Daphnia pulex: one gene and its partners. The main gene of each other region encodes a partner of the protein of the gene in region 4 in a complex. Links are inferred from orthologs where the notes say so. Each region holds a gene or a part of one and is shown on either strand. Other genes may lie near its edges.

Region 1 (2,958 bases), on a different chromosome or scaffold from region 4:
GAGTCCATATAGTTCATAAACCGAAAACGGAAATGTCTTGTTAAAGCTCTCAATGACATCCCAACAACTGACATACTCTAGAAAGGGTGACCGAACTATTAGTGGTGCCTTAGATCCAATTGGATCACAATTGTTGAGAATCATCCACACTAATTCCTGTGTCCACGTCGTTCCTAAGTAAACAAATTCAAAGTTATCAATTTTATATGTGCGGGAGAATACGAAAAGTTAACACTTTCAAGATCCGAGAGATTTGTATTTGTTTGTTTCAAACTATGTGTTTTAAAATAGGCGGGGAGAAATACAAGGTTGCCATTTGGCTACTAGACTTTCAAGGCTACGGCCAAAAAAATTGATGACAAAGAAATAAATTGTGACGTAATAGCAGTAATTGCTAAACAAATACCACTAGGATATTTATTTTTACGAATTATTATTTTATAAAAATGTAGCTATTACATAAAAAAAATCTTAAAAATGATTGAAAAAGGATTTTACCGCATTTTGGAAAGGTTACTACCCAAACGTCGTCGCTTCTTGGTTGAAAACGTGAAATTTCTTTGGCATGGCGTGCATACTCATCCGTTAAGAGAAAACCACCAGGTTCGCTCTTCATCAGTCCATGCTGCTCGTAGTTTGTGAAGTGTTCTTTCAAGTCTCCATTCACTTCTACAGGATTGAATTTTATGTTCCACTCTGGAACAACTTCGGGAGGAACTGAAGGATTTTCGGGGTTTGTCATCGTGCGAGAGCTCAGACAACAAATGAAAACGCAACGGCAAAAAGGATCGAACAAAGACCGCGACGACTGAATGACACCGTGGCCTCCTTTTTTATACTCAACAGCGACTCAGCGAGTGCCACATCAAATTTTAACGATTTGGTTTTCGTCGTTAAATCAAATGCAAAATTATTAAATCCACGTAAATATGTATTACAATATCAGATATTTGATAATATTTATTTAAATATTTTACAACGACCCAACGAGCAAAAGAAAAATATACTTCTCTAACAACATAATTTTGATTTCGAAAATGTTATGCTGTAATCGATTACAAAAATTCTCAATTTGGCATACATAAGCATTACTCAATTTCTAAAACATTACATAAAAAAATGAGAATATAAATACATTAAAGAGCAGGCAGTGAGGCAGCAGAGAGCAGGTCCGCGGACGGCGGACCGCTAGCGGCTAGCCGTTTACAGGTGGTGGATGAAAGTAAATCTGGCAACGGTTACGAGTTGCGACACCATTTCATGTTGACAAGCCGAGAAACGAGTTGTATCAAACTGAAACTGAAACATTGAATTGATCTCGTTTTTTTGAGAAATACGCCAGAAACATTAAGGTAATTAGAGAGTACTTGTGCATATCTTGTTTTATTTCGTTTGGATCGCCATGGTAAAGCACAACGAAGACGAGAGGAGTCCCAAAAGGTCCCACGAACGAGGCCATGAAAGAGGCAAGACTCACAGACGTCGTGAAGAACGTGACTCTTCCCCACCACGAAAATCTTCACGAAGCGACCATTACCATTCAAGAAGTGATGACTATGAAAGAAGTCGGAAATCAGACAGCAGGAGACATGATTCACAAGTTTCACACAAAGAAAGTAATCGAAGAAATGACCCACCAATTCCAGTTAAAATCAAGAAAGAACCAGTTAGTGATGATGAACAAAGTTTCAGACGTCCACAACACAATGAAGGGCCTTCAAGACGGCATGAGCAACCACATTCAGAAGATCGACCACCAAGACCTTTTAAGCAGAGACGCAAAAGCCCCCGAAGTGAAGATGCTGAAGCAGCCAACTACCAGTATGGCCAACAAGTTAAAGATGAAGAAGAAGAAGGAACACTCGTTGAAAAGCAAAAACCCAACTTTGGTCTATCAGGAAAATTGACTGAAGAGAAGAATGTTTTCAATGGTGTGGTGGTCAAATACAGTGAACCACCTGAAGCCAGAATTCCCAAGCGACGGTGGCGTTTTTACGTCTTTAAAGGGGAAGAGGCATTGCCTACGTTGTACCTTCACCGTCAAAGCGCCTACTTAATCGGAAGAGATCGTAAAGTTGCTGATATTCCAATCGACCATCCCTCTTGCTCGAAACAGCACGCTGCGATCCAATTTCGGTTGGTAAACTACGAACGGCCTGATGGAACTGCAGGACGTACTGTCCGGCCATATATTATTGATCTGGAAGCAGCCAATGGTACTTTTGTAAATAATCAAAAAATTGAATCCAAACGTTACGTCGAATTGTTCGAGAAGGATGTGGTGAAGTTTGGCTTCAGTTCCCGCGAATATGTTCTCCTTCATGAAGAAAGCAAAACAGATGCTAGTTTGGACGATATGGGAGTGGGGCAGTGACACGTTGGTGACCAGCAATGTTTTGTATCATAACAATTTTCTTTTTTGAACGCCGCAATACACTTAATGTTTCTGCGAAAGGTATTCAATCGTCTTTAAGTGTTCTTTCATTTCATTTCCAGGTTTCACACATCAGTGGGGCTGTTCATGTTATTCGTAAGTTGTCACGTTAATTCAAATTTATAACTAAAGCAATTTTTACAACCAGTTGGTAACAGGTAACCAAAATTGCTGGTGTCATGAGACCTGTGGAACGACTGCTGGCCTCCTCAGCAAGACCGCCCAACATTCTAATATGTACGAGTGACAAAGAAGTTTTTCAGCAATATCGAGCCCTCTTTGAATCCACACTAGAGCCGGATTGGTATATAAACAGTATAGACATTTGATATCTGGATTCTTGATCTTAAACAATGTAACATTGATTGACAGTTATGCCCTTTACCATCTCGATGAACTCTCATTTCGTTCTAAAAAAGCTTGGCTAAGCAACACAAGCCTCCTAGTACTTGCTTCTCGATGGTCTGATAATGACTTGCACGATCCGCTGGAAGAGTACATCAAGAAGGGTGGTCAATGTCTTT
Region 2 (2,976 bases), on a different chromosome or scaffold from region 4:
AATATCCGTAAACTAATTTTCAGGACGTTGGTCCAACTTCTTGAGAGGACTAAGAAAAAGTACCAATCTCGATTAAAAAGACTAGAGCAGCAAATGGTCAACATGTCGGAAAGACATGCAATGCAGGTATATAGAGAAAAATTACGAGTTATCAAGTGTGACCGACATAAAAATGTCATGTGATTATCAGGTTCGCGTCCTAAAGCAACGAGTTATGGTGCTGGAAGATGAGTCTTCCGTCCGCCCTTTACCTTTAAGTTCAGCCCCAAGTGAGACTTCCCTATGATCTTACCCTTTTTTTTACCCTTCTCTGAATTACGCTTTGCTGTACTCATACGCTTCTTCTCGTTTTCAATTGTGTGATATATAAAATCAGAACGTGCTACTTACCATTTATAAGACAAGCTAATCTGAAAGTGCATGACTTTATACTATTTTTTTGTTTTGTTCCCTTACAACCAAATCTTTTTGGTTGTCACTTACTGAAAATCTCGGATGAATCAATTTCCTGTTGCAGTGTATTATCCGAATTCGATAAAGTAGGTTTACATTGAATTTCATTCATTAAGTGAAGCTAACTGTCTCTCAATTTCAGCACACGCGAGTTCGATTTCGTAGTTTTTAGTGATCAAACCAAACCAAGTGGCTTCCAAATGTTTCATTTTGTCTCCAACCTCTGTCTGATCTTTTTTTCTAGCCCAATTGACATCTTGGATTTGTTTCCTGTAAAGAAAAATATAATAGTGTATTTTGCAATATGGTGTCTACTTTACTGAAATCATACTTAAATTCCTGAAGATGCTTCTGAGATTGTTGGATCATCTGGGACAATACAGTGTTATAAATTCTCCATGATTCACAACCATACTCTGACATTAATTCCAAGTTCAAAATCCTGTTTTTTAATTGAAATTTTTTTAAATTTATGGTTGCTGTAAAATTTTTTTTTAGAAAACAAACCTTGTTGTTTGATGTTCTAATTGAGCCATTGAATTATCAACACACTCTATCCATGCTTGAAGATCATTTAGACGACCAGCAGATGGGGGTGGGAGTTCATATCGTTTCATGCTCAAAACATCCATTGGTTTCTTTTGAGACAGTCGCTCAAATTCAGTCTTCATCAAAGGAGTCTATGAACATGATAATTTCCATAATTATTACACACTCCTATCATTACTTCCATGCAGACAGTTCTTACTTCAAATGCTGACAGCTCAAGTGGAGGAAGATGTTCTAGGTAGTTTTTGGTTGGTCTATATCTTCGTGTCTCTTCATCAACCAATGCAAGTGCCTGATAGAAAGAAATTACTCTCATTAAACAACTATTGGACAAGAGCGAGAGTTCTCAGCAACATACAGTACTATGGTCTAGTACAATAATGTATTGATGTTAGAGATGACTAGGCTAACACAAGAATCTCCAAGCCTCAATTCGAAGCGATTCAAATATTTCAAAGTTTGCAATGTATAAGTTTTGCTTACCGCTTCTCGTAGAGTTGGATCTCCATATTCTTGGTCAACGTATGGTAAATCGTCAACCAAAATCCTTTCGTTCGGCGTGGAAATGTTTGTTGACGGAATCGGCATTTTGTGATTTGTGTCAAACTGTCTGTTGTCAGCAAGATTGTCAGATTTTCTGCTGGATTAATAAATATGAGCCACAGTTTTAGTAATTGATTTTCATTATGTCTAATTATTCATAAACTTACTTTTTGATAATGAATAAAGATCATTAACTTCCTTTAAATGAATAAAATATGAAAATAAATTGGTATATTAAATTTTATTCAATAATATTTTGGACACCGTTGCATTGTGAAACAAATAAAACAATATTAAAAATTTTATAACTAATCACTCCATTAAAATGTTTGAAATCATCAATTGAAACTCCATAATTTTTGTTATTAAACAGTGGATCAGTTCAGTGAATAATCTGTAATTTTTCAAGTAAATAATCAAGTAAAAAACGGAACGTAGAGGGCGGCAATTCTCAAAGTATGCCGGCAACATTGTAGACTTCCTCTTTGTCGCCATTACTGTGGGTCTCTTTCATTCGCCTTTTTACCCGGTCAGGACTATCTACCAAGATGGTAAGCATGAGGTTCTCCAAACATTTTACTAGTTTTTACATACATTAATTTACGAATAGTAAGTAAAAAGGTTAACGGGAGAAACGTGTTTTAAGAAAATTCTTGCGTGCGTATATTTTTCTAAGCCATTTTCTTGTTAATCTATGGCGAAAGTTTGGGAGTAAAATGTTACCCACAGCGTGGTTTCGTCCTCGTGTCAAATGGGCTCTTGCTGTTTTTCTATGTTAATTCAACGTCGTTCTTGGTTTATTGTTATGTTTTGGTTAATTGGTACATCTAGTTCAAAGTTTGTGTAAATTCAAGTGTTGTCTCTTGAAAATCTTAAATCTAATTTGTTTATCCATTTTGTTTTACAGAGTAAGGTGGTCGCGAGGCCGTTGATTACCGTTTACAATGAGAAGGCTGAGGCCTCTGGAACCAGCATCCAGCTCCCTGCAATCTTCAGGGCTCCCATTAGGCCAGACATTGTCAGCTTTGTTCAACAACAAATGTCAATGAATCGTCGTCACCCTTATTGTGTCAGCGAGAAAGCAGGTAACTTGTATGCCAATTATATGGCACACAGCATTGAAATGTAGGAGTAATTGTACGTCAGACTCTTCTTGTGCAGTGTGCAACACTAAAGCGAGTCCCTGAGGCCTTTCTCGCTTTGTTTTCTTAAAGTGAGGGGTTGGGCAACCGGACAAACTTCATACACACATGTAATGGTGTGATTGTTAATCTTCTTCTTTCCTATTACAGGTCATCAGACAAGTGCTGAATCATGGGGTACTGGTCGTGCTGTGGCTCGTATTCCCCGTGTCCGAGGAGGTGGTACCCATCGCTCCGGTCAGGGTGCCTATGGTAACATGTGTCGTGGTGGACGTATGTTTGCCCCCAC
Region 3 (3,963 bases), on a different chromosome or scaffold from region 4:
GTGAGGATACATACCTATAAACAATCAAGCCACAAAATTTAAGAAATTTTCGACACCAATGATTGCTCTTCAATTGGACGTTGAAAATTGGCGCATACATGTTGCAATAACACTTCCGTCTTTATTCAGTTACTGCGTGACATTCGAGCTGACCAAAGTGTCCAAGGCCTGCCACAAAGAGAAAGTGTTCAACTCTCTTACTGACGGTAATTGACTTCCGGAATAATAATATCCGGATGGAAATATCATTTTTCAAAAATTGTGTTTTGATACATTTATTTTATTTTATTCCTTTTCGTGGTTTAGGCGGCGTCGTCTGTGTTCGATGTGAACACAAGGCTACTCGTGACTATTTGGGAGGCCGTTGCGGTGGTCACGGAGTGCCGGGTAGAATTACACGCTGGACATCGCTGACCAACGTCGAGTGCCATGGCAAATGGCTCAGACGTCCGGATGAATCTCACGAGGTTTCCAGCTCGACTTGTTCGTGCGACGAGGACGCTCTGTTAATTTTCGTTTAGGTCTCAACACAAGAGACGCAAACTATAAGGAAACGAACAAGGAAGAAGATCAATTTTAAACAAAATCTCCTTAAATTTGTTATGCTACCACATTAATTATTTCTATTTTTTTTTCTTTGTCTTTCGAATCATTCTTTTTTTTTACCTAAAATATTCGATCTGAGGGTGGTTTAATTAAAAAAAACGCGAATGAAACGAGCGAAAGCTAGAACAAAAAAATTAACTGTCGACCCACCCATCGAGTTTAATGCGAGTGTGAAAATACACAGAAAGGGAAATTTCCATAGAACCAATTTATTCACTTAATCTTTTGTTTGCTGTCAGCTGCCTAGTCTATAGTGGAGTCTAGCAATTATTATGCATTGTTGACTTTCATATCGCTTAGGCTTAGCCGTCTTCTTTGAATGGTTCCTCTTAATTATCTTATCTCGAATCATTTTGAGGCTTTTATGAAGGTCGATCCTGGCCCCCTAGTGGCTGAACGTCCAACGACCAATATTTCATCATTTAATTTGGCCAATGAAATTCTTGATGATGTGATCGTTGGATGTTATTTTTCGTACATAAAATTTTTTTTTAAATGGTAGAACAATTCAATAATCGTTATAAAAAGACAAAAAGTTTAAAAGTTTAAGTCGAGCGGTTGAAGCTTGAAGGGTAAGCAGACGACGTTCAAGACAGTGTGCCAAAACAACAAGTCGGTTTATTAGTCGTTTGGCGTTCTATTCCATAAACTGAAAAAAGTTTGCTCGATTTTAATTTGTGTATTTCACAGAGAACTTTGATACTGTTTTTCTTCATCAAAGCGTGAAAACTATCTGAAAATGGGAAAACGACAACACCAGAAAGATAAAATGCAAGTTCTAAGATATTTCAATTTGAATGATATGTTTAGTATGAAAACACTAACTAGTTTACTATCTTATATTTAGGTACTTGACAAGTACAGAGTGGAGCACATTGTATGGTGGGAAGAAGCCTGTTAATCCAAATAGTGCCAGTGCTTCATTTCGACGACTTCCATATGATCACTGTGCCTTGTCACTTCAGCTTTTTGAGAATCCTTTGTGTGACACTGAAGGAAATGTTTTCGACCTTCTTGCTATAGTTCCATACTTGAAAAAGTATAAAACTAATCCAGTAACAGGAAAAGTAAGTTTTGCTTATGGGTATTGCATGTTTGCTTCATCCGATAAACTTGAACTAGAAAGGCATGTTTATGAGAATTTAATTTTTCTAGCCATTGGAAAGCAAAGCCCTTCTGAGGTTAAATTATCATAAAAATGCTGAAGGGGCATACCATTGCCCTGTATTGTTCAAGCAGTTCACAGACAAATCCCACATTGTGGCCATCAGAACTACTGGAAATGTGTTCTCCTATGAGGCAGTAGAGCAACTCAATCTGAAGCCCAAAAACTGGAAAGAGTTGTTAACAGATGAAACATTTGCTCGTCAAGACATTATCACTCTTCAAGACCCATCTCACCTAGAAAAGTTTAACATCGCTAAATTTTATCATGTAACGCATGACCAAAAAATCGAAAATGAAGGTAATTTGTTGTCTTATTGATTATAGACTTAACAACGCCAATTGATTTGCTTTCATAAATATGATTCTCTCTACTAGAATTAATAAGGGCCAAAACCGATCCTGCAGCCCGTCTCAAATACATCAATGCAGAAACGAAGGGAGTTTTGGCAGAATTAGAACAGGAATACAAGGCACCTGAAGAGACTGTAACTGTAAAAGCAGTAGCTGATTCCATTAATGCGGTAATTTGATTCAGTTAAAGTTTTAAATTTATCCCTTTTATTTATTATTATTTTCGTTTTTATAACTTGTTTATAAAACAAAAAAAAACTATCAGGCTCATTATTCCACCGGGGCTGTCGCTGCTGGTTTTACTTCTACGGTGATGGCACCAGAAACTAAGCATGAACCAGCAATTCTCGATGAAAGTATCGTTCGATATCAGCGCATTAAGAAAAAAGGTTAAAGTAGTTTCTTGTAATGAATTCTTCACAAACCATCTAAATTTGTTTTTATTTCATCAATTTAATTTCTTAGGTTATGTTAGACTAGTTACAAATGTCGGGCCTCTTAATTTAGAGTTACATTGTGAAATGGTACCTAAAACGTGTGAAAATTTCGTCAACCTGTGCAAAAAAGGCTACTACAACAACACCAAGTTTCATCGGTCTATCAAGCATTTCATGGTACTGTAGATCTCAACGTGATCACGGGCTGTTACAGAGATTTCCTAACAAAAATTTTCCAGATTCAAGGTGGCGATCCCACTGGAACTGGTACCGGAGGAGAGTCTTGCTGGGGAGGATCATTTGAAGATGAATTTAAGCCGAATCTATCCCACACCGGTCGGGGTATTTTATCGATGGCGAACTCGGGAACCAACACTAATAAATCTCAGTTGTACGTTTAAATTATCTAGTTCTATGCATACATTACGCATCAATTTGATTATTACTCTTTCAGTTTTATCACCTATCGCTCGTGTAAACATCTGGACGGAAAGCACACAATATTCGGTCGTGTCGTGGGTGGAATGGAAACTTTGAGCGCTATGGAACGAATTGGTACTGACAATAAAGATCGACCCGTAGAAGAGATTATTATTGAGTCGTCACAGATATTTACAGACCCATATGCCGAAGTAGACGAAAAGGTTGCCGAGAAAATCAATTCAACCTTAGAAGCAAAATTTACTTTTGTTTTTACATTTTAGTTGGTGATTGAGAGAGCCGCAGCGCTAGAAGAAGCTGAGAGACAGTTGAAGGAAGCAAAGGCTTCCATCCCTAAAGCCCAGCTTAAGGTTTTCAAACAATCTGGTGTAGGAAAATACATCAACCCTAAAGCTTTCACCAACAAGTATATCTTTAATTTTCTATTAAATAAAATAGTTTCATTGCAGCTTATTATTATTTTTTTTTATAGACCAGCTGATTCGGCTGGAGAAGAATCCGGCAGTTCTCAACATAAAAAAGCTAAAACATCTGCTAACTATTCATTTGGTAATTTCAGTAATTGGTGACCTTCCCGGATATTGGATTATTCTTTGCTTACTTGTGGCTGATTTTTTAAAAATAAACTCTTTCTCGAACACTTGTTCTTATCAAATTGTATGTCATTTTTTTTACTCAATAATTCTGTAGCAATTAAAAATAAAAATCGAAAAAGGGGAAGGAAGGGTTCACAATTTTACTGACTTTTTTTTATATGCGACGGCAACGCAGCATTGTCCTCTCGTCTGCCAAAACGACACACGATGGATGACAAACCGGTAAGCAAACCACATTTATGATAAATAATAATTTGTTAAATTACGCGTTCAATAATCAATGTCTTTTGGTGATTTGTTTTCTAGTTAGCGAAAGCGCTGAAAGATTTACCCTTGAGGGTACAATCAGCCAGCTATCTCGAACG
Region 4 (3,085 bases):
GGGGCAGGAAAATTGAAATGAAGAAAGTTATTAACTAAAAAGTTCTGTCGAGTTTTTTTACCGACTTCGTTTGTTTTTTGCCTTGCTTTTTCATTTCATTAACGTTATTCTCTGTTGAAATATTGGGATGGGTACTATTGCTTTTAACTATAACATGGCAAAAGATGAGCTATATATTGTAGGGGGTTTAATAACTTTACTGCATGGCGATTTCACCAATGGTTTAATGTTATTATGTATCAGGAGAATCGTCATTTGCCAACCAGTTCTTTCATGGCAGCGTACAATCAATTCACTCTCCAATCATCGATGAATTCGACATTGGCGATAATGGAAGCAAAGCTGCACGTGGACAGGCGTTTGTTGTTGATTATACTGTTCGTGCGGTCAGTGATCTAGTGTATTTTCACATGAGCCGATCCCTGTACCAAGCAGTCAGAAGTGCTACCGTCCTAGAGCGGGTACAGCGTGAAGTTGTGCCACGAATGACGGAATGCGAATCTGCTTTCATGTCTAGCAGAGAAGATTCTGATACGGTATGGGATTCCTGCAACTGAATTACTTTTATGTAGATGATAAATATTGTGACTAACCCAATTTTTTTTTTAAATTGCATTTTAGTCTGTAAATTTGACGAACGGGTTTTCACCTATTGAGTTACAACCTGACAGTTCTCGTTGTAATTCTAACTGCCTCCTGACTAGATCTGATCCGGAAAAAGAAAGCCTACTAAGTAGTTCACGAGGTAGTTCATTACCTAGTACCCCAAATGTTTGTGTGGTCGATAGTCGATACAAAAGAAATGACGTTTTCAGTAGTTGTTCACCCCAGACCATCATTAATCATCAAAATGATACTGGAAATTACTCTTTTCCACACCGTTCTGATCGATAATTCCTTGGATAATTCGATTTAGTGAAATATTTGATGAAAACTGGGAAAACAGTTGAACAAATAGTTCGTCTACAACCGCTGGCGCGCTCAAATATTAGTGAAATTGTCGGAGAACGATTAATGTGGATGCATCCTATAAATGTGGTACCACTTCTTGACATTCCCGTTGATAAAATAATAATGTAGAAAAGGGAAGGTGCAAGACGATGCGCACTACTATGGTTTGTTGTTTTATCAATCTAAATTTGTTTTAGTAGTGATTGAAAATCTAGAACTTTCATTGTCAACACATTCACACAGTCGATTTTTTTATTGGTTATTAAAAATAAACCACAAACATATGTATTCCTTTAATGTACTGTAATTGCGTAACATAAATCGTGTGTGGAAATGTAGGAAACCAGTTATGTGAGGTGAAACAAAGTAACCTATTTCGTACTTTTTTTAATTAACAAAATTTCGCGGGTTTTCTGATCAAATCGGGGGAGGAGCATAAAAATCGACACTAGCGACACCACATTGAAAACGAAGAACTATCAACCTGCTTCTTCTGCTTCTTGCATGAGTTGCATCTCGACTCGAGATTCTCGAGTAAGAATCCAACTTCTGTCGTGTGTCCTTGATTAGTTGATTTTAATTGTGTTGGGGGAAAAGCGTTTAGTAACTTTGGAGGTTTTCAAGAGTCGGATACAACAGAGCAACTCTTTCATCAAAGCCAAGTACAAGTAGCATTTTCCACAGTAATTGAAAAATCGTTAGAAAATGACAACTGCTTCGCGACCAACATTTGCCCCTGCTACTGGAGGACAAGGCAGGGGAGAAACGTCTCTCAGTTCTATGAGTAAGCAATATTCGAGTCGAGATCTTGCATCACATACTAAACTAAAATACAGGTAAAATTTAAATTTAATTCAAAAATTCTGACATTCTAATTTTATTTCTTTTGATAGGGATATTGGTCAGGGATCATCAGAGGAAATTCGCAACAAGGATCTAAAAAGAGATCTAGAAGAACGGGAAAAATCTCATAAGGAAAAAGGAGATCGCAAAGACAGAGATAGGGCTGTTAAATCAGCTTCGTCAGTATCTTCCCAGTAAGTCTGAAAAACATTTAACTTTTTTTCCCTATCTCTACAAACTATTTCAGTTATGGGATTAAAGAATGTGTTAACACTTTGCAGGAAGAAATTACGTGTTGATCCTAGTAGCTTGGATGCAGATGATCCCATTGAAGACGAAAGTGATGACAGTGTTGATGAAGAAGATGAAGATGACACTGCTGAATTAATGGCAGAGCTTCAGAGAATAAAGGGTGAACGAGCATCTGAATTGGCCAAAAAGGTATTATCATTGACTTAGATGCTCTTGTTTGTCAAATACACAAATTGCTTGTTTTTCAGGAAATGGAACAGAGACAAGAAGAGGAACGTATCAGAATGGAAAATATTTTAAGCGGAAATCCATTGTTAAATTACGCTGGGAAACCTCAGAAATCTGACTTGCGTGTCAAACGACGATGGGATGACGATGTTGTCTTCAAAAATTGTTCCCGTGCTGAGCCGGAAAGGAAAGAAATCACTTTTATTAATGATTCACTTCGGTCTGAATTTCATAAGAAATTCATGGACAAGTATATTAAATAATTTTTTATGTTCCATGCATTTGATTAAATACATTTCCTGTCTTAATTACTAAGTTTATTTGTAAAATTTTTTTTTGTGGCTGATTCGTTAATCGTCTGTAAAGGACTAAAGACACTTTAATTCAGTATACCAATTTTTCCTTTAAAAAGTTTTCTTATTCATTCATTGGCATACTTACAATATAAGAAAATATTTTTAAATTATTTATTCCTCTTTGTTCATCAAATAGAATTTTATAATTCTAAATATTAGAAATTGTTGACATTACAATAAAAAAAAACCTCGATCTCTTTATTATCGCGACGTGACGACTCTAGTCGTCATAATCTTCGATGATGATATCAGCGTCCTCGTCCCGATCCTTTTTACCATTCGAGTTTACGGAGTCCACTACATTTGCTGAAAAATCAGTGGATTGACTAACTTGAAACTGGTGGTAATTAAGCTGGCCTGATGTTGATTTTAACCCTGTATCAATTTAATTAAATGAATAATAATAAGATATTTAAAAATAAAGAGAAATGAGATCTCACCGTCTGTTATTTTAG
Region 5 (2,530 bases), on a different chromosome or scaffold from region 4:
TCTCGAAATATATCGTATAACGCCTTACAAGTAATATTTTTTGTTTGTTATTGCTTAGCATGGACTTAGCCAACAAGTAAAAAGTACTGCAAATTTTCTGGAATTAGTATATATATGTAAACAGCATGTTTAATTCTAATGCTAAATTGCATAGAACGACATCATTCGCTGTGTTTATTGATTATTGAGCTCATAAAAAAAACAATTCTCAGTCTAAGTTTAATTGTTCAAAGGAGATTAACCTTTGGTCCTTAACCTTTTAAGCATTACCTCTGACAAAATAAGGGATGGAGTTCAGAGTATAATTTACATATCCATCCATTAGCCATGCCATAAGATAATTTACAAAGAAAATTTACTGGTAATATTCTGCATATACTTGAGGTATGAAAAATTTACAAATTTTAATACCAAAAATTAATATAGTACCACTCAAGATAATTACAGTGATTGTAAGGTCTCAAACTTCACATGAGTAAAGCACTAGAGTACGAAAAGAGTTTCAAGCATCTTAATTTCATATATTCCATTCAATGTCACATTCACTTAAAGATTAGGAGACATAGACAAGATTGTAACACAACATAACACAACAGATTATCAAGTGGAAGATTGTTTGTAGCTTTTTGTGTCAATAATTTTCTTTCCACACATCGAACAGATTCCTTTTTTATAAGCACAAGGTTGACCTGTAAATTCCAAATTACAGTAATTTTGTTAGACTCAATTCAGCTTCTTTTCTTATAAATTCTTTGGTACTTACAATAATACGATCCATTTTGATGAACTTTCTGTTTACATATTCTGCAGCCTTCAAATTTCGGTGTATATGGGTTGAAACGATTTTTTGTAGAAGTAAGAGCTTTGTTTTCATTGAGCTTGCGACCACCACCTTCTGTGGTATTTCGAGCTCCTGATTTCCATGGGTCTGGAGTTATAACTTTACCCAGTTTTTTCTCACATTTATCGCACACCATCTTTCTACAGGCTTTAACTGCGTTTTTAGTTTAGTCAATCAACAAAAAAACTTCAAAGCTAGATTCGAGTCGACTAGTCGAAGCTTTGTTTTTGCAAACTACCACCTAGCGATCATAAGGCAAACTTCAGTTAGTTCACATAGACAAGCAGAGATGGCTTTAACCTTTTCTAAGACTGGGATGGTTAAATCTATTGCCACGACATCATGTCGTGGCAATACGGTCGAAACTGTCTATTGCCACGACATCTGTCGTGGCACTATCACTGTCGTCGTCACTAGAACGCCCACCCGACACTAGAACGTCCATATTTTAGAAACGAAACTAGAACGGAAAAACTATTGCGACATTAGAACGGCTATAATAAAACCTGCGGTGGAGTTTAATTCTTTACCGCTAGATGTAGGAGATGTATCCGTTTAGGTTGCGCGAATTTTGAAACAAATTAACGCTTTTAATCTTGTCAAAATAACGCAGTCTCCAATTCCCCCATAAAAAAAAAACTGGGCAAAAAACCGAAACCTGAATCTGGGCAAACAAACATGATGGCACATTATTATAGGTATCAAAGAAAAATAAAGAGAGTTGACTTGAAGGCTACCACATCGGTAGCCCGTCACGGAATTTTATTTGTGCGTGGGCTATAAAATTGATTTTCCATGATTTTCATGAGATGGCTCTTCGGGGTGTAATAGATCAAATCAGAGGAGCTATATCCGTGGATACGAAATATATTATATACAGTACCCTCACAAAGTTTGGAAACACGGCGAGTGTTTCCGCGCTTCTAACACGGCGGCTTACGGGCCAATGTGTCTCCCTTTTTTCGCGATAACTCACGTTTGAGTTATCGCAAAGCAAATTTTAAAAAATCTTCTTGGTGAGGAAAGAATTTTCTTTCACCATGATTTTTTTCAGATTTTAGTAAATTGAACTTTATCCCCAAAGTGCTAGACATAAAGTTTGGAAACATCGGCGCGCTCGCCATATGTTTCCAAGCTAAAGTGTATGCTAGTTAAAAAATCATAAAAAATTGAAATTAATAAATTTTTACTTGAAACTTTTACCAACGGTAGACGACATAGTCGTCTACATTTGGACAAAGTTTCAAATTTTTCTAATGAAACTCTGATTTGTCCCGATTTTTTAAAAAACAATTCCGATTTATTTTGGTGGCGCAGGGACGAAATCCTAGCCCGGGGGAAGAATAGAAGAGGGAAAACCGCCGGACCCCTTTGTTCTCCCCTATTCTCTTCCCTCTATTTTTCTATTTTAAAAAATCGAGAAAAATCAGAGTTTCATTAGAAAAATTTGAAACTTTGTCCAAATGTAGACGACTATGTCGTCTACCGTTGGTAAAAGTTTCAAGTAAAAATTTATTAATTTCAATTTTTTATGATTTTTTAACTAGCATACACTTTAGCTTGGAAACATATGGCGAGCGCGCCGATGTTTCCAAACTTTATGTCTAGCACTTTGGGGATAAAGTTCAATTTACTAAAATCTGAAAAAAATCATGGTGAAAGAAAATTCTTTCCTCACCAAGAAGATTT
Region 6 (3,936 bases), on a different chromosome or scaffold from region 4:
GATTACGTTCATGATTTACCTTTGTTCAAAGCCAGCCAAGGGTCGAATCAATAAATGAAGTTACCTCGTCTGCAAATGATATATCGATAAGCATGTCAGCAGACGGTTAGAGGACAAGGGTTGCTTAATAATCTACTGATAATAAATATACTACTACTAGCTGCAGCACACACACACACAATCTTCAAAGTGGGAAAAGCAACCAAATTGGTTAGTTTCTTGGCCTTGCGGTTGCACTGACCCTGGATCAACAATGCCCTATGGCGAAAAAGGCCGACTCTTTCACTCATCGTCAAAAAAAAGAAAAAATAAAACCGTAAACGTATATGAGAGACAAGGAGAGAAAAAGAAACGGTAATGGCTTCGTGGAAAGAATGTCAACGTGTATACGTAATGGCGTGAGAGTCTGAGAGAGACCTAGTGAAGTTGCTACACGGCCTGTGTGATGAAAGTCTCTTATCGATCCGGCTCACAGGCACATCTCACATCAGGGTTGTTGATAATGAAACTGATTTCTCTTTTAGCTTCTACCAACGTTTGATCGGTTCACCGACACCAAAAAATCTCAAGAGGGGTGAAATGGCCACACGCAACGTTTCTCATCAGATTTTACGAAAATGTGATTGTCGATGAGAATTTTCCCATCGAAAAACGATAATATCAAATAGGCTGGAAAAAACAATCTACAAAAGGTATGTACAAACGTAAAGGGGAGAGAACAAATGCCGTCGGTTTCACTTGATGCTGTAGACCTCTGGGCAGAGAGAAAACCAACCAAGACTGCCTTGAATGAGAAACTGAAAACAAGCCCCGACGAAAAGCCTGTCAACACACACCAAAACAGAATCGGCCAAACTTACCGGCCTCGCGATGAACTGGACGATCTCAATGAAAACAATACGTTCACAAACTAACTAATCACACCACTCCCACCGCTTTAGCAATACTCTCAGAGCACTTCGGTTTAAGAAACCGTTTTGACTGCAACTGCATCTCTCTCAGTGTGCCACCACAAAAAAAAATCATTTAAGATTCATCAGACTGCCATCTGGTGTTGATAGTGTGCACAAGCCTTTATTAAAAATTTAGGGCGCGTCGTGAACGCCATCTGCTGGTTTTCTGTGGTACCTCAATGAATATACGATTTGATCATGGCTTTTAGATTCGGCTTCATTTGGTCGTCGTTTACTCGCTTCACCCGTTTGGTTCTCTAACAAACTTGTTTTGCTATCGTGTTTCTTTCAAGGCAGTTTTAAATTAACGTAAAACTTCATCGTGTTTTACTTGGACGCGTCTATTTTGTCTATTGATTTGAAACACCCTTTTGATTGTGTGATTATTCTTTAGAAACAGAAAGTTATTTAGTTGAATTTGACATGGATCATCACATGCCGCCCGGCTACGGCCAGGAGAATTACATGTATGGAGATCCTTCAAGGTCCTTCCAGGGTAATGCTGTCGGTATGTATGGATCAGGTGCTAGACCGATGTCACCTCCTCCAGGTGATGAAGACATTCCCGCCCATGAACATCTCCCATCAGCACTTGAAGAAGTCCTTGCTTACAAAGAATACCGAGTACGAGAAACGGGCCACTCTGGAGAGGTTGATAACATTAGTGAGTAACACTTTTATAAATTTTCTAGTCTTCATGAAAGGTTTCGCTTGCAGGAATGAACTTTATTCTTTTCTATTTTTTTTTTAGTTAATGAAATCCCTGTCAAAACAGTTATAGAAACTGAAGGAACTATTGAAGAGAGGAAAGATGATTTCGGTGGGGAAGAAAACCTTGAAGAAAAAACTAAAACTCAAAGAAATCAAAAGAAGAAAAAGAAGAAGAAGCGCACTAAGAGACATCAACAGAAAGAAGAAGAAGAAGAAAATGAAAGGAATGATGATGCTGAAGAACCTCCACAAGTGGATATTGAGTATGTCCAGGAAGAAATCATTTATGACGACAAAAATCCTTTCTACCGACAGTTTGCCAAAATCTTCGAAGCATTTAAAATCATTGATGAAAAAACTGCAAAGAAAGCTGAAGAAGATGAAGCCAAAAAGAAAGAACTTCAAAGAAGTTTAGAACTTAAGAAGGTCCCCAAGTTTGCAGAAGAGGAAGATTTGGAGGAGAAAAAGGAAAATGCTGATGATGACAAGCCAAAAGTTTCAAAAAGAAAACTAAAACAACTTACTCGACTAAGTGTGGCCGATTTGAAGCAATGTGTTGCCAGACCAGACGTCGTAGAGATGCACGACGTTACTGCTAGAGACCCCAAACTGTTAGTTCTTTTGAAAGCAACCAGAAATTCGGTCCCAGTTCCTCGACATTGGTGTGCGAAGCGCAAGTACTTACAGGTATATTTTACTATGCACAAAGGGTAAACAATTCGTTTTAAACAAATTTTTTTGTACTTTAGGGAAAACGTGGAATAGAAAAGCCTCCTTTCAATTTGCCCGATTTCATCAAAAAGACCGGAATCATGGAAATGCGAGCTGCTTTGCAGGAAAAGGAAGAGTCAAAAACACTTAAAGCTAAAATGCGTGAGCGTGTTCGACCCAAGATGGGGCGTGTTGATATCGACTATCAAAAGTTGCATGACGCTTTCTTCAAATGGCAAACCAAACCCAAGATGACGATTATGGGTGATTTATACTATGAAGGAAAAGAATTTGAAACTCGAATGAAAGACAAAAAACCCGGAGAGTTGTCTGACGAACTGCGAACTGCTCTCGGAATGCCTGTTGGTCCTAGTTCAAACAAGTAAGAATCTATTCTTAATTTGACACCGTTTTGTGTTACAGTAGTTAATGTTAATGGCGTTTTCTTTAAGAATTCCTCCTCCTTGGTTGATTGCCATGCAAAGATATGGTCCACCACCGTCTTACCCTAACTTGAAGATTCCAGGATTGAACGCTCCAATTCCTGATGGTTCTTCCTTTGGCTACCATGCCGGAGGTTGGGGAAAACCTCCTGTCGATGAATTCGGGCGGCCTCTGTACGGCGATGTTTTTGGATTGACTGGAATCGCAGGCGATGTAAGAAAATATCTCATACTCTGTGTATAACAAATTCTATTAACCACGAATACTTTTGCCTCTTTTTCAGACAATTTTACTCGACGAAGAAGTTGATCGTACCTTGTGGGGTGAACTTGAATCGGAAGAAGAGGAGGAGGAAGTTGAGGAGAGTGAAGAGGAAGAAGGAGAGGACGAAGAAGGCGCCATTGATCAATCAGGTCTGGTTACTCCTGCAGAAGGACTTGCTACTCCTTCGGGATTCTCATCTGTACCTGCTGGTCTGGAAACACCAGATATGATTGAGCTACGAAAGAAAAAGATTGAAGCAGAGATGGAGAGGTATGTAACCAGTGTCAACTACTATACAACTGCTACTTTACATTTTTAATTATTCCTATTTTCACTCTTATTTAGTAACGAAACGCCTCAGCTGTATACCGTCCTTCCAGAAAAGCGAACGGACAGAATCGGTCAAGCGATGATGGGATCTACCCATGTATATGATATCGCTTCAGCTACGACCACTCAGAAGAGTAAGATTTGTCATTTTTTAGTTAATTTGTTGTTATTATGATTTTTCAATTAAATTTTTCATAGGTAGTGGTGGTGTGGAACTTAGTTTGGATCCCTCCGAGTTGGAAGGTTTGGACTCTGAATCAATGGCCGCTCGTTATGAACAAACATTGCGGGAGCAACAAGGCAACTTGGCTAAGGAAGATTTCAGTGACATGGTGGCTGAACATGCCGCCAAGCAGAAGGTAAGTCGTAAATCCAAATCAGTGATTATTAACTTGATTAATAAAATGTTTTCGTAATTGCAAAAACAGAGCAAGAGAAAGAGACAACAACAACAGACGGACACTAAACAGGCCAAGAAATACAAAGAGTTCAAATTTTAACATCCCTTTTGAAGCATTAAAAA
Region 7 (3,970 bases), on a different chromosome or scaffold from region 4:
AATAGGCTTTACTTCAGACACGGAAGCATCTTCGCTGGATCCTTTGGAAACACCAGCTACCTCTTTCATGTCAACATCGATGTTTAAGTCAGCAACAGGTCCATAAGATGACACTGACTGATCATTGGTGAGGATAGCAACTGCTTCATTTAGATCATTCTTGGCTAAACGTAAAGCTCGTTTGATTTCTCCGATGTCCGGAAATCCCATGGCCATTAACGTGCTGATATTTTCGTCTTCGACGTCCATGACGTCTTCTCTCCGGCGTTTTAAAATTTTTATTGTTTATCTGAAGAGGAAACAAATACAAAATTAGAACATATCACGATGCACGATGAGTGTATCCCAAGCACTCTGCGCATTTTTTTTTTTGTTTTTTTGTTATCTTACTACGATCACAAGAGGCACGAACTCCTTCGCGGAGCTTTTTGAAATTCTTCTATACACATAGGATAAACTGCATGGAGGAGTGGCAAACAAATGTTAGCGGTAGGCAGGCCCCTTGTCAAATGCGCCCTCCCTATTAAACCGTGGGCGCTGACATCTTTGACATGTTGCCAGCTCATTCATTCCTCTAAACAGTGGTTTCAGACGGATTCGACTTTTAGAAAAAATGCTTAATGATTTTTTACCACATAATTTCAATTGAAAGTATGAAATCTCTTTAACAAATCTTCGTGGCTGCCTGTTTTTATTGTTTCATAGCGGTTAGTAATACCTATTTTAAAACTAGGAACTCGCAGGACTAGCGAAAACATGCGAAAATATTTCAAAAATTGAAATAATTATTCTTTTAACGATCCTTTATAACTCTGATTTCACCAGTAACTATTTTAAAAATTCTACACGAAATACGAAGACCTGAGAAGGCTCAGCGCTTAACGCTGCCACAAAGCTGATAAACAATTTAAACAAGTTATCGAAAAAGTCCAAAAAGTATTTGATGGTTGCTCGCTGCTCGGGGCAGAATATTTATTCAATTATTCCTTTTCCAATAAATTTTAAACAAATTTTCATTAATGAGGAAGTGGTTGATTACAAGAAGATTCTTAATTCTTATTTTTTGTCACGTTTGTCTCTTTGCCTGCCTTTGCGATAAACCCGATAAGGCATAAGGCGACAAGCCGACAACCAATGAAATCGAACAAGCTGCCCAAACGCAGGTGGCGCATTAGTGGTAGAATTGTAAGCAAACGGCAATACCGCAATATGGCAATAGGCATTAAGCCAAGGAAGCAAACGTAAAAAAGCAGTTGTTTCTCAGCGTGTTGCGATTGCAATTTTCTATTCATCCAAACAGTATAACATCTGTTAAGTGATATTTTCAAATTAATTTCCCTTCATCTGTCACAATAATCCTTCAGATGGAAAGTGTCGTCAAAGCTGTTGGTTTACCCGTAAATTTCTTAGAAGAAGTCGACGATGATTTGGAAGATGAACGAGACGAAAAAGCTCCAGCAAAGCCCGATAGCAATATTCGGAAACGACGGTATAGTTCAGAGGAGGAATACAGAAGAGAAAGGTAGACAACTGTACCAAAAGTGTTACAAGTAACAAATTAATTTACTTCATATTCATTTTTTTATCAGGAAAAAAAACTATGAAATAGGCACACGCTATTGGGGAGATGAAGGCCCTAGAGATAACTACACACAACATTCAAGAGAACAAGATCAACATTCAAGAAAAAGAGAAAATCAATTGAAAAAGGATGACAGAAAAACTAGTGAACAAGGTCCTTTAAATGAAGAGGATACTAAAGAGCCTAAGAGAGTTAAAGAAATGGATCCAGTGCTGACACGAACCGGAGGAGCTTACATTCCTCCTGCCAAGTTAAGAATGATGCAAGCCCAAATAACTGACAAGTCAAGCTTAGCTTTTCAGCGTTTATCTTGGGAGGCTCTCAAAAAATCCATTCATGGATTAATCAATAAAGTCAATGTGTCAAATATCCCATTGATTATAACATCCTTGTTCAAAGAAAATATTGTTAGGGGACGTGGTCTTCTAACTAGGTCCATCATTCAGGCACAAGCTGCATCACCAACATTTACACATGTCTATGCAGCCCTTGCTGCATTAATCAATTCCAAAGTATAAACGTGATTTATATTAATTCATGTATTTAATTTAATTCACATCACATTTGTTGATGTTTCAGTTTCCTAACATAGGTGAACTGCTATTATCTCGCCTTATTCTTCAATTTCGCCGTGGGTTTCGTCGAAATGACAAACAAATATGTATGAGTTCGACAAGATTCATAGCACATCTGGTGAACCAACAAGTGGTAATATTGAAATTTTGCTCTCATGTTTTGTTTTTCAAATGCACTGAAAATTTTTCTTGGTATTTTAGGCACATGAGCTTTTGGCTCTAGAAATTTTAACTCTTCTGTTAGAAAATGCAACTGATGATTCAGTTGAAGTCGCGGTTGGATTTTTGAAAGAATGTGGTCAAAAGTTAGGTGAAGTCTCCCCTCGAGGATTAACTGCTGTCTTCGATCGCCTCCGTCATGTTTTACACGAAGCTGACTTAGACAAACGCGTGAAGTACATGATTGAAGTAATGTTTCAAGTACGAAAGGATGGCTTTAAGGACAACCCTGCTATCGTGGAAGATTTGGATTTGGTGGAAGAAGAAGATCAATTCACTCATTTGATGTCGATACAAGAAGAAGAATTGGATCCCCAGGATATGTTGAGTAATAAGTTGCTATTAATGGATTTAAAAAATATCTGTATTCCTCAATCTACCAAGTTAGTTTACTGGGCTTAAATTTTTATTTATTTTTAAAATAATCTTTGACTGTAATGAGCCCCAAGTTCCGTGCTTTTCTTAAACTGTTAATAGTAGATTTTATATGTCTATCTCCACTTTGATACCACTAACTGTTTCGCGTATTTTTGTAGATGTTTTCAAGCACGACCCGGATTATGAAGCCAACGAAGAAAAGTACCAAGCTGTCAAAACAGAAATTATTGGAGATAATTCGGGCGAATCAGACGGTTCTGGAGAAGAAAATGATGAATCTGATGGAGATAGTGCTTCGGAGGAGGAAGCAAAAGGTAAGAATAGCATATACTTTTACTTGGGTCGATTCAATTTGTATGTTTTTAATTTTGTTTTTTTAGAACAAGGCGATATTGTTGACGAGACGGAGACAAACCTTATTGCTCTTCGACGCGTTATTTACCTTACTATTCAGAGCAGTTTAGATCACAATGAATGTGCCCATAAAATGATGAAAATGCAAATGAAACCTGGACAAGAAACTGAGTTATGCCATATGATCTTGGATTGCTGCACCCAACAAAGGACGTATGAAAAATTTTTCGGCCTTTTAGCCCAGGTACGATTTCTTATTAAATAAAAAACTATTCAAGTATATCAATTTTCTTTTCGGTGTATTAGAGATTTTGCCAGATTAATAAGGCATACATACCACCATTCGAGCAAATATTTCATGATACATACGACACAATTCATCGGCTGGATACTAACAAGCTTCGCAATGTAGCCAAAATGTTTGCCCATTTACTTTTCACAGATGCCATCAGTTGGCAAGTGATGGCTAACATTCGACTAACTGAAGAAGATACTACAAGCTCTTCGAGAATATTTCTTAAAATTTTATTTCAAGAAATGGCAGAGTACATGGGTCTCAGCAAGCTAAATCTTCGCCTCAAAGACCCGTCAGTGCACCAACTATTTTTTAAACATCTTGTTTGGTTATACGTCACCAATTTAATTTTTTTAATATTTTCGTTTTAGGACTTTGCAACCGTATTTTGAAGGAGTTTTCCCTCGCGATGATCCTCGCAACACTCGATTTGCCATTAATTTCTTTACTTCCATCGGTCTAGGAGGGTTGACGTAAGTTTTTCTATCTCGTTGATAGATTCTTTAAGATTAATTAATAATTTTGTGTTGCGTTGGATGGGACGTTTCAATTATGTAGAGACGAACT

The links.
Region 1: spliceosome-associated protein CWC15 homolog (region 4) and smad nuclear interacting protein 1-like share a complex: the UniProt entries of both Homo sapiens proteins name them as parts of the minor spliceosome. The link is inferred for Daphnia pulex from reciprocal best matches to the Homo sapiens genes CWC15 and SNIP1.
Region 2: spliceosome-associated protein CWC15 homolog (region 4) and pre-mRNA-splicing factor SPF27-like share a complex: the UniProt entries of both Homo sapiens proteins name them as parts of the PRP19-CDC5L splicing complex. The link is inferred for Daphnia pulex from reciprocal best matches to the Homo sapiens genes CWC15 and BCAS2.
Region 3: spliceosome-associated protein CWC15 homolog (region 4) and RING-type E3 ubiquitin-protein ligase PPIL2-like share a complex: the UniProt entries of both Homo sapiens proteins name them as parts of the minor spliceosome. The link is inferred for Daphnia pulex from reciprocal best matches to the Homo sapiens genes CWC15 and PPIL2.
Region 5: spliceosome-associated protein CWC15 homolog (region 4) and cysteine-rich PDZ-binding protein-like share a complex: the UniProt entries of both Homo sapiens proteins name them as parts of the minor spliceosome. The link is inferred for Daphnia pulex from reciprocal best matches to the Homo sapiens genes CWC15 and CRIPT.
Region 6: spliceosome-associated protein CWC15 homolog (region 4) and splicing factor 3B subunit 2-like share a complex: the UniProt entries of both Homo sapiens proteins name them as parts of the minor spliceosome. The link is inferred for Daphnia pulex from reciprocal best matches to the Homo sapiens genes CWC15 and SF3B2.
Region 7: spliceosome-associated protein CWC15 homolog (region 4) and pre-mRNA-splicing factor CWC22 homolog share a complex: the UniProt entries of both Homo sapiens proteins name them as parts of the minor spliceosome. The link is inferred for Daphnia pulex from reciprocal best matches to the Homo sapiens genes CWC15 and CWC22.

The regions. Positions count from the first base shown.
Region 1 is NC_060018.1:419,648-422,605, reverse strand, and holds smad nuclear interacting protein 1-like, read left to right. Parts: upstream 1-1,346; 5' UTR 1,347-1,402; coding exon 1,403-2,374; 3' UTR 2,375-2,458; downstream 2,459-2,958. Other genes in the region: sulfotransferase 1B1-like, read right to left, coding at 77-173, 499-742; biotin--protein ligase-like, read left to right, coding at 2,522-2,530, 2,593-2,738, 2,807-2,958. UniProt on the Homo sapiens protein: Required for pre-mRNA splicing as component of the spliceosome. As a component of the minor spliceosome, involved in the splicing of U12-type introns in pre-mRNAs. Down-regulates NF-kappa-B signaling by competing with RELA for CREBBP/EP300 binding.
Region 2 is NC_060018.1:4,114,108-4,117,083, forward strand, and holds pre-mRNA-splicing factor SPF27-like, read right to left. Parts: upstream 1,774-2,976; 5' UTR 1,713-1,773; intron 1,643-1,712; 5' UTR 1,591-1,642; coding exon 1,486-1,590; intron 1,295-1,485; coding exon 1,202-1,294; intron 1,134-1,201; coding exon 961-1,133; intron 896-960; coding exon 785-895; intron 724-784; coding exon 558-723; 3' UTR 501-557; downstream 1-500. Other genes in the region: uncharacterized protein LOC124189006, read left to right, coding at 24-126, 191-269, 1,498-1,529, 2,453-2,630, 2,838-2,976. UniProt on the Homo sapiens protein: Required for pre-mRNA splicing as component of the activated spliceosome. Component of the PRP19-CDC5L complex that forms an integral part of the spliceosome and is required for activating pre-mRNA splicing.
Region 3 is NC_060022.1:781,827-785,789, forward strand, and holds RING-type E3 ubiquitin-protein ligase PPIL2-like, read left to right. Parts: upstream 1-1,163; 5' UTR 1,164-1,345; coding exon 1,346-1,377; intron 1,378-1,453; coding exon 1,454-1,673; intron 1,674-1,761; coding exon 1,762-2,071; intron 2,072-2,148; coding exon 2,149-2,294; intron 2,295-2,389; coding exon 2,390-2,513; intron 2,514-2,589; coding exon 2,590-2,738; intron 2,739-2,800; coding exon 2,801-2,952; intron 2,953-3,015; coding exon 3,016-3,205; intron 3,206-3,265; coding exon 3,266-3,408; intron 3,409-3,474; coding exon 3,475-3,571; 3' UTR 3,572-3,642; downstream 3,643-3,963. Other genes in the region: somatomedin-B and thrombospondin type-1 domain-containing protein-like, read left to right, coding at 130-206, 307-521; eIF-2-alpha kinase activator GCN1-like, read left to right, coding at 3,806-3,820, 3,905-3,963. UniProt on the Homo sapiens protein: Has a ubiquitin-protein ligase activity acting as an E3 ubiquitin protein ligase or as an ubiquitin-ubiquitin ligase promoting elongation of ubiquitin chains on substrates.
Region 4 is NC_060025.1:5,440,125-5,443,209, forward strand, and holds spliceosome-associated protein CWC15 homolog, read left to right. Parts: upstream 1-1,420; 5' UTR 1,421-1,656; coding exon 1,657-1,787; intron 1,788-1,844; coding exon 1,845-1,988; intron 1,989-2,075; coding exon 2,076-2,235; intron 2,236-2,294; coding exon 2,295-2,537; 3' UTR 2,538-2,585; downstream 2,586-3,085. Other genes in the region: unextended protein-like, read left to right, coding at 244-536, 622-894; cell cycle checkpoint protein RAD17-like, read right to left, coding at 2,851-3,005, 3,071-3,085. UniProt on the Homo sapiens protein: Involved in pre-mRNA splicing as component of the spliceosome. Component of the PRP19-CDC5L complex that forms an integral part of the spliceosome and is required for activating pre-mRNA splicing.
Region 5 is NC_060021.1:4,590,194-4,592,723, reverse strand, and holds cysteine-rich PDZ-binding protein-like, read right to left. Parts: upstream 1,098-2,530; 5' UTR 978-1,097; coding exon 764-977; intron 690-763; coding exon 601-689; 3' UTR 501-600; downstream 1-500. UniProt on the Homo sapiens protein: As a component of the minor spliceosome, involved in the splicing of U12-type introns in pre-mRNAs. Involved in the cytoskeletal anchoring of DLG4 in excitatory synapses.
Region 6 is NC_060020.1:5,125,182-5,129,117, forward strand, and holds the start of splicing factor 3B subunit 2-like, read left to right. Parts: upstream 1-1,136; 5' UTR 1,137-1,376; coding exon 1,377-1,617; intron 1,618-1,704; coding exon 1,705-2,351; intron 2,352-2,413; coding exon 2,414-2,757; intron 2,758-2,827; coding exon 2,828-3,032; intron 3,033-3,102; coding exon 3,103-3,353; intron 3,354-3,428; coding exon 3,429-3,547; intron 3,548-3,611; coding exon 3,612-3,772; intron 3,773-3,841; coding exon 3,842-3,913; 3' UTR 3,914-3,936. UniProt on the Homo sapiens protein: Component of the 17S U2 SnRNP complex of the spliceosome, a large ribonucleoprotein complex that removes introns from transcribed pre-mRNAs.
Region 7 is NC_060018.1:7,249,544-7,253,513, forward strand, and holds the start of pre-mRNA-splicing factor CWC22 homolog, read left to right. Parts: upstream 1-1,170; 5' UTR 1,171-1,299; exon of another isoform or gene 1,300-1,364; coding exon 1,365-1,522; intron 1,523-1,589; coding exon 1,590-2,094; intron 2,095-2,161; coding exon 2,162-2,290; intron 2,291-2,358; coding exon 2,359-2,704; intron 2,705-2,912; coding exon 2,913-3,352; intron 3,353-3,414; coding exon 3,415-3,695; intron 3,696-3,774; coding exon 3,775-3,876; intron 3,877-3,961; coding exon 3,962-3,970. Other genes in the region: ubiquitin carboxyl-terminal hydrolase 24-like, read right to left, coding at 13-249. UniProt on the Homo sapiens protein: Required for pre-mRNA splicing as component of the spliceosome. As a component of the minor spliceosome, involved in the splicing of U12-type introns in pre-mRNAs. Promotes exon-junction complex (EJC) assembly.